Linked DNA regions of Drosophila melanogaster. The protein of the gene in region 1 interacts with the protein of each later gene in a biochemical or structural test. Each region holds a gene or a part of one and is shown in the gene's direction. Other genes may lie near its edges.

Region 1 (7,984 bases):
CATTGAAACCATTTGTTTAATCGCTATCTAAATTAACAATTTCTAAAATGTTCTTTTCATTTTTTTTTTAGGTTTTAAGAGGAGAACTGGTAAGTTCATACTGTGAACCTAACTTTTTATATAGTAGATCCATAAAATTAAACTAGAATGGCAAGCATTAACTGGCTTCTTAGATAAAAGTGCAACTAGAAGATTTATTTATTAAAGATAGTTAGTTTTTGGTTTGTTTGTTGTATGCATTAAGGTTTAGCGTGATTTACAAATATTTTAGTTTCACAACAATTAGTCATCGTAATGGGGATTTCATAATAAAGTCATTAAGAAAGCACGCTGCTATAGAAGTTCGTCTCGTTCGGCAGACGAAACGCATTAAAGCGAAATGCAATCGGCGACTGTGAAATCTAAATGGTGATCTAAAATCGAATTTAAATTGATATAGGTAGAAGGCACAGTGGGGTTTTTTCGGGGCTTTTGGGGGTGGGGAATCAATCCGGTGGATCACGTTCTGCTCGGCGCTAATCGCTCAATTTGCCTCACTGCTAGCACGCGGAAATGTGTGGGAGGGCATTCGAAAGCGTTTCAGTCGCAAAAAAAAAAGACGGTGACATGCACTGGGAAAAATGGTAATTGAATTGCATAACATGGTCATTCCATGAAAGCTACATCATTCACATGTTAAATAATATTACGCCTTGAAAGTAACTAGTCCATCTAGTTACTCGCCACTCGTTCTAATCGAACGAGCACAGCTAGTTTACTCTTGTGAAGCACTTCGTTACTACTTGGAATGCTGCCGTGTGAGTGTGATATTGCTGCATATATTTCTGCATTTCCTATAGAGTAATCATTGAAAATAATTCAAAATATCATTTGCCAGTGCATTGAATGCGGGCACAGTGAGGCAATGCTAATTAAATTTCGCTAGTCGGGGCACGGCGCCCTCAGTCTTAATTTGTTTGCATGCTCGGTCGAGCGGAAAAACAACAACAAATTGGCATAATGATCTTGTACGATCAGCGGAAACATGATGATGATCACCAGCATCGCCACGATCTGAACTGAACTGACTGACTGACATGCGGACTTGTTCCTCCTCCGTCGTTCGCTCGTTCGTTCAATTGCTATTTTGACTTTGAACTTGCGTCGCTCTGTAATTTACAATTTCTGCACCAAAGGAGAAGGCTTGCCCCAATCCGCACTATAGTACAATCCCGTACACCATTTCCTACCCACTCATGTGACGTTCAGAGATTTAAATTTAGCCACAATGACCACCAGGGAAAGAACGAAACTATCACTGGGCTCCACGCTTAATATGGAACGAAATTTCAATTGCGATTGCTATTTTTAGGCATTGTCAACGCGCCGTCTCGGCTTTACGATTTATGTACATATATCTCTCATCTTTTGCATATCGAGGGGCGGCAACATTAAGCCCCGCGATTGTGCGACTTGTGGCAAGGTTACTTCATATGAGATCTCCATACTGAACTAGGTACACAAGCAATTCCAACTTCAACTTATTGATTTTGAAACAAGAAGGCTTAATTCTTAATTGCTTGAATTGATGTTGGGTTGTCTTTACAAAATTTCTCAAAAGATCGCTGCACATTTTTGACACGCTTAATTTGTTTTTTATTTAAACAAAACCTTGCTGTCTCTGGCAATAAAACAAAAGAGCAATTAACGCGGCTCATTTAGTTTTAGTTTTGAATAATAATGCGCGACAATTATGTTTGTCATATGACTTCCGAATACATTAACTTCCTGCATTTGCGCAGCTTTTTGAACTCAATGAACTGAAATACCCTCGAGCTCGACAAAATGTTTTGCGTACAAGAATATTGATTTATTTACTGCTGTTTTTTTATTTTTAATTTCTTGCGAAAAAATGACTTGCGAGTGCAAAAGTCCCAAACGTCCTTGCCTTGAGAAATCGACCGACTGAGCAGAAATCACATGAGATGTTGACCAGCAAATTGAACCGAGCATGTGAGCATTGATTTCGCTGATGGGCGATGGCACATGGCACATATTTTGAATTTTTTTTAAGAAATATACTATGCGCATTTGTTTATACAAATGTATAGAGTTTCACGAACAACGCGTCGATCTGCAATATACTTTTAAAAATATATCTTTCATGGGATTTTATAGTATTAGACTTTTTAAAGCAAGTTTGTTCATTAAATGTATCTCGATTGCTTAGAAAACATTTTACTAGTACAAGACTATAAAGAAAATATGCATTTTAATAATATTTTTCTATAGCTGGTTGTATACAAATATACAAAAGTATATCCACTGTAGTTTTTAGTATACTAAATAGGTTCGTTTCGGTTCATTCATCATAGCTGGCCCCCAGCTCGTGGTCATTAATGAGTTTTCCTCATTTTGATGTCACCGACGTCACGCAAGTGAAAAATTTCACAGAGTTTATGACCAACGCCTAGTATTAGTATTGTGAGTAGTATATCTACATATGTATGTAGAAAGCGAAATATTTGGGGCTCAGGAATATGGGGTTCAACCTTTGGCCCACCCACACACGTGTCGAATGGCATTGGGCGCTAATTAAATCGCTGGTTTTTTCGGCTTCTTTTTTTTTTGCGCTCTTCGAGTGTCAAAACTTTTTGAGGGCGTTCGATCACTTGACTCGAATCGCCGGTGCGCATAAAAAGTAACCCAGCGTACAATTATAGATATATTTACGATTTTGCACAGCCTGACAGATTTCACACATTTCGATACACAAGCTCTGTTGGCTTGGATACAACAAATTCCCTTGTTAAAAATAAGATTAAAGCAAAAAGTAGGAAAATAAGGCAGCACACTTTGACTATAAACAAGAATTTAAAAATACACATCCCATAAGCCGTATGCAAATTGCTAAAATAATAATAACATCAAACTTGCGCATGTCTTTGTCGATGAAGAAGAATTACCTGGGTACAGTGCTGCTAAAAACCAGGGTAAACATGGTTGAAAGACGTCTATAAGAAAAGAGAGGTCTTACCAAAGACAGTCCTCTTGAGGATAGAAAGAGATACGTTGTATCTCCAAGATATGAAGAATCTACATTTATAGATCTATGAATATCCTAGTACTTACTTGTAAAAAGCAACTTTTACTCACAATTCGCGACACAAGGACTTCCTGTTAATTATAAAAGTTGGTGATATGTTGTTTTTCTATTTCGTATCAAACGAAATTTGTAGAACCCGCTAGAACGGAACTAGGAACAATTGCCTATGCAAATTCCCGAAAATCCCCTGCCGAAGGTATTTAAATTTTAAGTGGAAGCCAAGGCAATCACTCATGCATGTTAGTTATCAGCTGGGCTTTGGCCATAAAGCCCGGCAAATCCGAGCTTACGTCAACCGACATACGTAGATACATAGATACACCTGGTGTTACAGATACAGATAGAGATACAAAGACACCGATGGGGATACAGAGGCGGATACTAACTACTACTAACTAACGCCAACGCGCGTTGATGGAGGCGGCAAAATTTCGCACATTTCGTACGTTTATTTCGTCGATCGGCAACGGCGTTTTTACTATAGTATATAGTATCGCCTGTCGTCGTGTTCCGCCATTTGTAGAGCTCATTTAATTTTATTGTTGTTTATTGCTAAACGAAACGAAAGCAATGGATGGAAAGGGGAGGGGGTGGAAAAAACAGTTCATTTTAAATGTTTGATTACAACGATTTGTGAAGTTCAGTCGAATTTGTGATTTTCGCGCTGGAGGAGCGGCCCATTCAGCGATCGCGAGCAATGCGATTTGGCGAACTGCAATCGGATCGAATCCCAATCGCAGTTCCGTTGATAACTCAACTCAGTCATTCTCGAGTGTCGCGTGTGATCGAATCTACATCTGTGGCTAAAGATCTTGGCTTAAAAGCAATTTACAGCCAGAACTAAAATCATTTCAGAACTTGAGAAAAAAAAATAGTGACAACCAGACAAAATGCAGTTGCTGAATTTAGTGTGCCTCAAGCAAAGTGGGTTGAAATTTTTGAAAAATCCAACTATATAAATCACGATTACGACACTCAACTTTTCAGCAAATCACAAGCACAAACTAATTTGAAATTCATGTTATCGCCGAAAGTTATTTTCCACATTTGTCATTTATAATCCAAAAATACTGTATGTGCGTGTATTCACGTATCCTTATGCAAATAGCTAAATAAATGATACCTATTTGATAGATAGGAGTGTGAATTTTAAATGCGAATTTGGCAAACCAACTTAAATTGCCAAAACTGAATTCGGTCAGGGGAATCCCCGTTATACTGCTTGTGATTTATATCCAGTCGGGTTCGGGATAATTAAATAATTATTAAAAAATAATTGCCACAAAAAGCTTATAAACATGTCACAACGAAATTTATAATTTACTCAGCAAAAACGACTTTATTAGGATTTATTTGGCTTCCAAAGCAAAAACACTTACTGAGCAAAGAGAGTTGAGGATTCACAAAATACATAGATCAGGGGATTTTCCAAATTTTGTCAGTATATGCAGTATTATAGTATATCCTGTGAAAAGTTCTTAAATTTGTTGATCATTTGGAACCAACAGCGAGAACCAAAACACGAAAAGATCGAAATGAGTATGCGCTATATGAATTCATCAATGCCAGTACAAATACTATATTCCCAAATCAGAACAGCAACTAAATGCAAAAACCAGGAATCAATTACTCTTCTTCCACATGACGTGCTGAAAAGTCGCTGGCATCGGCCAAATTAAAAATCTAATCTAAACAAACAGTCACTTTGGGCACTTGGCACGGCTCAGTACTCATAGCCGCGCACTCATCTACTCAACTAACGGATACATACATAGTATAGATATAGTATCTAGTCATTTGTATTTCATTCTTGCGCGCGATTGCAGTGCGAACTGTGTCAACAATTAATGCGAAGCGATATTGCAACTGCAATTCAAAGTTCAAGCAACTCGTTAATGTGTCAATATTGAAATTACAAATGTCGTTAAATTCATTTCCATCGAGACGTTTTATAAATACACTCACGTGTATTTTTGTAATTTATCTGATTCTTCTATATTAAGGCTGTCGCATATTTGCAAAACGCAACAGAGTGCAATAAACGGAAAATGTGTTAAGCGAATGAGATATTTATGCGTATTCATTTACCTGAGCTAATGAGAGGATCCATTAGCTGGATTGTGAGGTGATTAGGTAACTGAATCACGCTGATTCTTAAATTGCCAACTTTAGTACACCTAAATTATAATTATATGTGTGGAAAATTTCGTTAATTGTTTTGAATGAAACAATTTATAGTTAATTACTACCATTAACAGAAGTAACACAAGCTATACGAAAACTCAATTGAAAATCGCAGTATTACATTAAATTTATTTAAAAAATAAAAGAGTTACCAAATACTTTACCAATGCTCAGAGCCACTCTAAGTATTACCAAACAACTTTGAATGTGGTAACCAAACCTTTTGCAAATTCTTGAACACAATTTTGTTTAAGATTAGAATAGAGTATATTTCGAATCTTTCTCTTGAGCTGCTTTCCATTTTCCGATCCATTTGGATTCATACGCACCCAAAAACCTGCCTCTTTCCGCACGGCGAGACACTTTGCCATGGCCGAACTGCATTGGAAATTATATGCAAATAGCCAACGAGACGGAGACGTTCTAAAAATAAATAGACCACGCAAAAATCAGTATCAGTATTGTGTGTGTGCGCGCGCGAATATCTTATTTTTATAAGTCTTCAGTCTTCGTTCTTCGACCATGGCGCATTTTTATGCAGAGCAGAACAGAATTTAGCGCTATGGCCAAATGCAAACTGACGATCCCATAATCAACCTATAGATACATTTGTATCTATCTAGATGTCCGCCTGGGTTTTATGGATGGGCTGTTGTGGATGCAATTTATGAATTTTCCATGATGACTGTGCGGGCTTCCCCCCACAAATTAACCCCCTTTCCAGTATGTTAACCCAGTTATCTTGCCCAGCAAGATAACGGAATGGAAAAAGAGTAAAAGCGAGAGAGAGTGAGATACTGGATTCCACTTTTGTATCTGGGTGCGGTATGGAAAGCACATACATATGTCTGCTGTATCTATGCTCCACTTTTTGGGACTCTGGGTCTTTATTGTTGCTAATTGTTCTCGCTTGTTGTTATTATTGCCGCTGGAAACTTTTTAACTTATCGTGCGCGTCAGAGCTGATAAAATCCGAGTACACGAGGCGCAGGGAAAATTGGTGGGGGCAAACAAAAGAAAAACCTTACAAATTGTGCAATTGCCAGTGGGTCAGCATCGCCTAAACATCGTGCAAATAACATGGAATGTAGAAAAAAGTAGTTTCTATATTTTTGAACTATTATTCCAATTTATTTTTACCAGAAACAAAATTGAGGTTCATATTTAGCATTTTGAAATTACAGTTTTTATTCAATTTTTTTTTTTATCGAAACAATTTTTTATCGCTAATAACAGATAGTTTTCATCTATGACGCCCACTGTGCGGCTCTTAACCCGCTCTCACTGGCGCTCTCTACCTCTCTGCTTCCTCATTCTCAACCAGCACCCCCGCCCCACCGCCCTTCTTTTCTGTTGTTGATATTTACTCAATAAATTTATTTTTGTATATTTCTAGTTTCAGCTTTCCACACTAGCATAATACCCTTCAGTCGTTTGGCTTATGCATATTTCAAAGTACTAACCCCCATATTCGTGGAGATCTTGATTTAAGAATCTATATAAGACATTTAAATCCGCAGAATTCTGGAAAGCAAAGCTTTAAGACGAAATTATTTAGTGGTAGGGTATCCGATGCTCGCATAATACAACTTTCTGTGCTTTTCTCTCATATTCATGTTGTTTTTGCCACAAGCCGTTGTTACGACGTCGACGTCGCCTGCGCTGCTATTGGCTTTGCCATTGCGTTTGTTGTTCTGCTTTTGTGCGCTCATTTGTTGCGCGGCTTTTGAAGCGATCGCTACGCCGAAAAAACGACACTAGTCGCAGTCGCGCCGGCGTGTGGAGCAGAATACAAAAAAAAAGTAGCAGCAACGAGAATCGTGTAATTATTTCTTCAGCATTTGGCGTAAATTGTTTTGATTTCCTTGCCGAGAAATCAATAAAGCCCTAAATGAAAATTTATTGAACTTCCAAACGTGTGCGTGTGTGTGTGTGTGTGTAAAGTCGTGTGACAATGCTTATCAGTTGCACATGATCGTGTGTCTCTCCCGCGTTCTCTTCTCTCTCTCTCTTTCTCCAACTACTCTTGGTATTGATTAATTGTGAAATTTGTCTGCATAAATAAAATCATTTACTCACACTTTCCAGTTAAATTCATATTTGTCATTGATTTAAGCTTAAATTTGAGTTTTGTTTAAACGCTTTTTGTTTAGATCTTCATAGTTTTCTGTTTTTGTTTTGAGTTTTTGACTTGTCATCGAGTTTTCAAATTCCAAAATCGACGTTTTGTTTTAAATCTTCAATCACTGTCATAAGAAAAGTATTCAAGTGTATCTGTGAAAATTAGCTTAACTTAGCTTTCTCTTCTACCATTTTAAAATGGTTTTCTGCTTAAATTAGCTTTCTTAATTTTATTTTTGGTTGCCAAGTGTTTTTAAAGGCCATTTCCTGTCTCCCCCCGCTTCGCATTTTGTTTGTTGTGTAAACATTTAGATATTTTTTGTTTTCCTGCGGCGTTATTCTTTATTTGAATTGGCCTAAGTGTTAAATTGCGAAATTCGCCAAGTATGTTGTTGGTCCAAAAAGTTAGTTGGTTTAATTAAGTGGCACATGACACGTCCGATAACTGGAAACGCGTTTTCTTTATCGCTGCTGTCACAGTTATCGAATTGCTCTTGTTCTTCTTACCGTTTTTAACCGCAAGCTTATCGTGTTCGGGTTTTTCGATGTAATCAAAATGAAGGAGGCAAATAAAGGAAAGCTGAAATTGTAAAC
Region 2 (7,893 bases), on another chromosome or scaffold:
AAGCTTATGTATCTGATGATTGCCTTCATGGGCCCGGACTCACAGTTCCTGGCTCCGGATTTGCATGAGCTGCTTCGTGATTGCCTGATGGATTTCTACAGGGAGAATGCAGCCCATGAATTTGACTTTGATGCAGAACTTGTGGATAAGGCGAGATTTGAACCGCTTTACTACCTGTTTGTCGAACACTTTGAGGCGGCCAGCTATGGTGATGAACTGTTTAGTTCTCTGGTGCTGGTGCCTCTGGCACAGAAATATGATAATAAGTGGCGAAGGCGTCTTTGGTCGGAGCATGTTCAGGCTGTGCGTTTCATAAACTGTGATGAATCTATGGTAAGTGCAAAAGGCATTAATTTGAAATGAGTGTGAACTATATATGGTTTGATTTTCCTTCTGCAGCTAATGGGAGGGCTCTTTGCGTATTTGGAGCCCGTGGAGGAGGAGCCTTCGTTGGTGAAGCTGTACGGTGATGCATTGGCACAAAAGATGGTTCGTCCTGGAAGCATTGCCTATCGGATAGCCCAGCACCACTTTAACCACTCGAAGTCGGTGCACAAAGCCACATTGTTTTGATAATCTGAACATTAATAGTTGATAATAGCTCTTCACGAGACTGCGATAAACGTACTTAATTTCGGAATCCAAAGTCGTTTTCATGTGACAATACTCTATTTATAAGGCAAGCTGATTTGGTTTTATCTGCTCCCTGTTTCAAGTGCTACCTCGCAGTTACTTTGAGTTAAGTCCATCGAACTGTTGGGTAAATTTGTGTATTTAGCATATACCTCCTCTCGTACATTATATATTTTTCTAGCTTAAGAGATAGTTCCAGTTGAATGCATAGCAAATTACTGGAAATTCCACAGCAGGCTGGTCGTTTATCATATATTGCACTGCACTTTGGTTAAGGCAAATAATTACATTTTCGGATAGAGAACTCTTAGGTTGTGTAACCGGGCTTTTTGGGCTAATTGCGATGGGCCAACGAAAACTGCGTGTGACAGGCCAACGGTTGCAGGGCATTTTGCTATCGCACTCAATTAATTAACATCGTTTGACTTATTGACACATGGGCCACGACAACTTGCCTCCTCCTTGCGGCTTCGCAGTCGTAAGCTTTGACGGCTGATAAAATGTATGTAATTAAAATGAACACAATTGGAGGGGCCAGTGCTAATTAAATCATTTGATCTAAGTACTCGTGCATGTTGGTTTTTCTCCATTTTCCTAAGTACATATGTATGTATATGACTTGGCGAATGACTTGTCACGGGGCTTTCGTTTGACACATGGCGTATGCGCAACATTGGGCCACATAATTCAACTTTCGCATGATTTACCCCCATCAAAATCGAAGAATTCAGCACCGCGAGGCGATGGTCTATGAGTGTTTATGTGATAATTGGCTTTAAATGGCTGCTAATTATTTTATAACTGCTGGGTGTTAGCGCGCTCCGTAAATGTTTGCACAGACCTCATAAATTTAAGCAACGCTAATCTGTTAAGTCAACTGAAATTAAATTTCGATCGAATCGTCTATTAATAGCCAGTTCAAACTTGATTGCCACTTGAAAATGATATGGAAAGGGGTGCATAGATACACGATTTCCAAGCTAATTGCATTGCTATCGCCGACTCCTTGAAAATTAATTACTTCTTTATTGGTAAAGAATTGCTATTTTGCTTATAATGGTTTTTAAACCAAAATTGTGTGCGTTGCTGTATGACACAACTTTTTAAACTTTCGAGAGGATTCTAGAGCACTTTTATGTTTATATGTAGATATTTTTGAAAATAACTTTTTCAAATGGCGCTTGCCTTGCACCACAAAATCAATAAAATGGGCCAATGGTTTTTGTGATACGGAGCCAAGGGCCCGCAGAGTTACATTTGCCCACTTGGCGGTTTTGTCGGCCGAATTCCCAGATATTTGTTTACGTTCGTCGGTATCCGGAGTCGCCCCTTATCTCTGATAAAAACATTCGAAACGGTAGATAGCGAGCTCCCAATTATTGGAGGCACTCGATATGACTGGGCTCTCGCCGGCTAATGAAAACCTATGGGGCACAGTTGGTGTTCATTGCGTCCAAATATTTGCATTGCATGCACTTGACCAAGAAACCGGTTCTGATTGCTGCCTGCCTCTTGGGAAACCCCCAATTGTCAGCGGGTTCCTTGGCAAAATATTTGCGCCCCTTCATCGCCAGCTAAGCGAAGCTGTGGAAAAAGTCATATCTGTCACTTGTGTTTGCCAGCAGCTGGTAAATATTTGAAATAAGTCGTCGCGGAAAAACAACTGTCATGTTTGAAAAATTACTTTTTGAGTTTTTCGTTCAATAGGCACTTTTCTCTTCTCCATGTTGAGATTCGAAAGTGATTCATGGCACTTTAATGTTTCTTGGTTATTTAGAAGTATAAAAAACCTTTAAAATTATGAAAAGTGGAAATTAAAAAATAAATATATAAGCACCTTAACGGAAAGTATAAGATTTTGTGTGCAACCCTCCTAAAAGTGTACTAAATTTTTTTTCTAACGGTGATTAACTTGAATTTTCACCGGTTGCAGCGTATCGAACAACTTGCTGGCCTGAGTCATCTTTCAACTCATTCAGATGGCATGCAGTTTCGGATACGGATGTTTCTAACATTCGTAAGGGTGCAAAAGCCACCACCAAGGTAACCCCAAGCCAGCTATCTGATTCACACAGAAACCAAGCCATGGCCATGGAAGCCAAACTCACTCAACACAACTTCAGTTGCGTGCGTGTGTGAAATGGAATTTTTATGCCGCACATTTGGGCAACTTGGGTTCGTTCGATCTCCCTAAATATATATTTGTATGTGTATATATACCCTATATACTATATAGCTCGTTATGCTGTCGGTTGGTTTGGTGCCTCTCGAGGCACATTTGTTTGTTCGCCGCATTCGAGCGAACGACGAAGCGAATTCGCCGCAATCGCTTCTGATATTTTGTGGCGATCGCCACCCGAGTTTGCCTCAGTCAGTCGTCGACTCTCTGAACGTGCGTTTGGATAGCTATTGCCATAGCTCCTCATCGGAATCGGAATAGGAATCGGAATCGTTTGTCGGATCAGCTGCCACGTTTTGAACTCGAAGTAAGAACAGGCAACGATCGTTTATTTTCGGTGCTGGATGTTTATTTTCGAAAACGCGCCCCTTTTAGAGGCCAGTGTTGAAGTGTTCAAGTATCTGCAAGATACCACAAGTACCTGAAAGATTAAAGCGTGTAAAAGTATCTGCAATATGCAATAGAATCTGAACGTTTGAGTATCTGCAAAGCTGAAACATATTCCAATATTTCCAAAAGATACAAAAGTATCCAAGTATCTGTCAGATACAAAGCAGAGCTTTGTACCGCATCTGCTGGCCCGCAGAGTGAACCCATCGTAGACTGCTGCTCATCCTACTGGAACACAATTAACTGGCTCGAATGAGCGTTTTGCAGTGCAAGAAAGCGAAACATCGTCTAAATTTCATATTGTGTATGCAATAAGCCTTCGCCCATCCGAAGAAGTGTGTGTGTAAAAGCCAATCAAGTGCCCTTCTGAACAAACCAAATTTGTTGTTGTTTCGGTGCAAAAGTGCTTTTGGGGAATTTGAAGTGGGTGGCTTGTGGCTAGCATTTGGATATCAGCCGTATCTCAAGTACTCCCCAGTTCGTGCTCATGGATTGCAAGCTCAAGGCAGCGTAGATAATAAAATAATTATTTGTCATACACATAAGTGAGCTTAGTTTTCGCATTCCCACACTTCGTTTTCGTATCGCACTCTTGCGGGTAAATATATGTGGTATTTACCAAAGTAAACTACATCGTGTGCGTGTTGCAGTGAGAAGTGCATTTATTGCTGCAAATTCGTAGTTCAAAGAAAAAACTTATAAATTACCTGCCAGCCAGTTGGATATTAATTTAGTGCGTTTCGGTGAGTTCGCAAAGCGGCAAATTGTATTTCATACATTTCCCTAGAATTTGACTGCGGCTTTTTTGGCCAGCTGTGTTGGCTTTGTATATACAAATTTACATAAATATGTACTTATGCACGAGTGAGCGAAGCTGGATATCTTTTGACCAGCGGCGGTGAATTTCATTTCAATAGGCTACTTTTTAAACTCTCGACTTAAAAATATCTCAGATATGCTTTCCAAGTATCCATGTTTTCAGCCTTTTTGCGAGCGATTGCCATGCACTTGAACTTGAAAGCCAGTTTACCAGTTTTTCCGGGTCCGGTCTCGTCTATCTTTGGCAAGTGCTCTCCAGTTCATCTCCAATTATCTTTGCCACTAAATGGGGTAATAAATTCACCGGTGCATTTATCTGTCTTCTTGAAATTCTATGACGACAATGTGGAAGACGCTCCACTAGAATCATTCAGTGTTCAGGATTGCGGTCAGTTGTCATTTGCTGCTGTGCACTCGCATATCTGGTTGCATATATATAGTTGCTCTTATGGTTTTGACACTAGCATATGCTATTTAAGAACTAAGAGTCAGTTTATATCTAAAAACTACACAAGAGGAATCTTATTTCTTTGATTTATAAATTTCTAATAATACTTTTCCTCTTAAAATTGCTAAAAAATGATTCTTGTAAATCATTTTCCATATTATTTCCATGTCGCTACTGATATATTAATAATGTCCAATTCATTTATAAATTCATATTTAAAGTAGTTAAATATTTATTTGAGTTTCACCACTTTGTGTTTGTGAAGCGCCATATAAAATTCCACACCATTAAACTTAAAGTGCTTGTAAAAAATGTTCATAATTTCATTACCTTTCAAGTGGCTTTTCATATACATTTTAATTCAAAAAAGAAATTCAATTATAATTGCTCTAAAAACTGCATGTTGGAGTGAGAGTGAGCACCACTCCAATGGTTTACGATTATAAACGCCCAATAGTAATCAAGCAAAAAAAAAATCCCTCAAAGAAATTAAATTCTTTTTAATTTAAATAACAATGAAATATAGGTTATTTAAAAAACTCATAAATTAAATTTATTTTAAAGCCTTAGGTAAGGTAAATACTTCGAAGTTTGATACCTGGAAATTTAAATTTTTGAATATTTAATAGTTAATCAAAATGAAAAGACCATGAAATTCAATTTTTTCGTGGACAAATAGAATACAGATCTATTAGAGTGTTTTTCAAAATATAATATTATTTTGTACTCAAATGTTGCATTACTTTTGAAGCTACTTAAGGTAAAAAGAACCCTGTAGAAACTAAATGCAGCTGCATATAATGGGCTTCCATTGCGCCTGGCAACAGAAACCCAGATCCTGGGGTTGCGCTCATTCCACCCCGAAAGACCGATCATCGATCGACATTCTTTATGGGGTAGCATTTGAAGGTCGTGGCCCATCTTCGAGTATACCAACTTAGAAAATGAACTGAATGCCATGGAGCTCAGCTGGTTTGAGCTGTCGCAGCGCATATGTGAACCGAGCACATGCCTCGATTAACTTGTCCATTTGCCAAACCATTGACACACAGACCGGCTAATGGAAATGCAACTCAAATTGTCACTGCTCCCCTTAATGATTCTCGACCGACTTTTGAGGCTGACTGGGGTGGAGCGGCTGGGGGTCGTCGGATTTGCGGCTCAACTGGCGCCAAAGCCGCCTGATCCCCAAGCTTTGCCTGTCAGCCATGGACAATAGGCACTCGGCTCCAGCACGTTGCCGCACCCAGGGGCAAAAAGTCCGGAGAAAGTCAGCCAGACTGACTGACAGATAGACGGACAACGAACCGGAGATCACAACAGAACGCAACGCACTGGCGAACAAATAAACTAATAAATCATTGACCTTGCGAACCTTGACAAAGGCGGTCGACCAGAAAGTGCACGGCATCCATTTGGTGAATAGACTGACGCGAGGCACTCAAAAGAATGGAATATATATCAGGGAAATAAAAAAAAAATATTTTAAAATTTGTGTAGAAAACAATAGAAAAATGAGGCACTTGTTCTATTGCCACTTTGGGTTATCTTCTTAAATAAGAACTCTTGCCTCTAGACTTCTTTCATCAATTCAATCAATATTTTATTCATGAGGTATTCACATATAAGCTTAAATAAGAATTTATAAACAAACTCGATTGCCCAAGAAGCATACGATGAAGACTATATATTATATATCGAAAATATACGAGCACTCTTGCGAAAATGAATACTCGATGAGCATGTTCAAGATATAAAACTGCGTACCAGAAAACAAAGGAAATATCTTGAAGATACAAAGAAAGTATCTGTACATTTATTGTGCGCTGCCATAGAATATTTTGTTTTCAATACTTTCTTATTTCTAGCTTCCGACAACTTACTTCCACAGACAACAAAGATTAAATTGAAAGTATCAGTATCTCACCGATTGTTTTATTTTGGAATTTCTCGCAGTGCACTGAGAAATTGCAGTCCACGGCGGAAATGGGAATGGAAATGTGAATGGGAACGGTATGTGAATTAGGTATGGGTATATGTGTATGCGACTGAGAATAAGAATGAGAATGATGTGCTGCCTGGGCTACGGTTGAAAATTATGCAAATCACAGCGCCAAGTCACGAAATTCCCGAGTTGCGGTGCAGTCGCCAAGTCGCCAAGTTGCCGAGTTGCCAAGTAGCCCCCGCGTTGACAATTTTCACCTTTCGCCTTTTTGTCTTTGCAGCGATTTAATGGAGATTTACGGCAATTGACGGAACGATTCATGCCGAGATAGCGATTTCGTGGGCGTGTGTCCAGCGTCCAGCGAGATACTTTTGCGTAAGAAATCCGCGAATCAAAGTGATGTGATGCCCAGTCCATCTTCCTTTCCGCAGAATGTAATTCATAAGTTGAACACGCGCACAATTAATAGGAATTAGCCATCGTGCCTCCCATTGCTGGCGGCCAGCAGTACAGAAATATCCCGTGTGCATTAGCATTATATAATTATTATTTTAGATTAGAGCCAGTTGGCTTTGATGTTGCCTGCTGGCCGGTCACTAAATGGGTTAAAATCAGAAGGGGTTCCGTCCGAAATATATTTAAATTCCATCTGCGGGACGGGAAAGAAACAATCGCTTTGTTTGGCCAGAACCGCACAGAACGGCAGAGAACAGGCCCAAACTGAACAGTGAAGAACACAAAAAGCCATGGCCAATTGGCCAGGTAAATGGTTTTGGGTTCTCCGTTTTGGTTTCACGTTCTTATTGGTTTTCGAGGGCCACAAACTTGAATTTTCACAGACATATCTGTTGGGCTCGTATTTATCATATTTCGCTTTGTTCCCCAAATGCTATATATAGTATTATTTGGCATATACGATGAGAATCCCGAATAGTGTATGTTACTCTTAACAAAACTTACTGAGTCATTCTGACGCCGGTTCTAACAATTCGTGCAATGACCTGTGAAATTATGAGCATTATATGAGCTTATCCCTCCCCCAGAATTTCTGTGGCATTCCCGAGGGCTCCTCTGGAAGCTTAAGTAGATTTCGTCTTCCTGGAATACTTCATTAATTTTTGGCTGTGTGAATGTTTAAATTTATTTTATCCTAACTGGGTTTGCCTTTAAAATTTCTGGGAACCCGTCGAACCAACAATCAATATTTTGTTTAACTTGCATATTACCTGCCTGCCAGTGTTTGCTCACTTCGATTTGCATGACAAACCTGAAACTTAGACGGGTTTTTGGCACTGCGCAAGTTGCTGATTAGTTGCGGCTTAGTTGCTGGCTAATTGGCAGGCAAAGTTATGCTGCCAAGGGATTTACTATCCATCCAATCAATGTGAATAGTAAGAACGTGCAAATGACCCAAAGGCCATTTTGATTTCGTGCCTTCACGAGAAATCCCACAGTCGAAGTTCTCCATTAAGCACAAGT

Evidence for each region.
Region 2: of the proteins of fray (region 1) and Ncc69, one has a biochemical effect on the other in vitro, tested with the Drosophila melanogaster proteins (one study listed by BioGRID).

What each region holds. Positions count from the first base shown.
Region 1 is NT_033777.3:18,577,496-18,585,479, forward strand, and holds the start of fray (frayed), read left to right. Parts: upstream 1-3,720; 5' UTR 3,721-3,975; coding exon 3,976-4,009; intron 4,010-4,783; exon of another isoform or gene 4,784-4,859; intron 4,860-5,088; exon of another isoform or gene 5,089-5,210; intron 5,211-6,977; exon of another isoform or gene 6,978-7,091; intron 7,092-7,984.
Region 2 is NT_037436.4:12,386,549-12,394,441, reverse strand, and holds the start of Ncc69 (sodium chloride cotransporter 69), read left to right. Parts: upstream 1-2,997; 5' UTR 2,998-3,119; exon of another isoform or gene 3,120-3,945; intron 3,946-6,612; exon of another isoform or gene 6,613-6,789; intron 6,790-7,893. Other genes in the region: CG32104 (uncharacterized protein), read left to right, coding at 1-333, 400-573.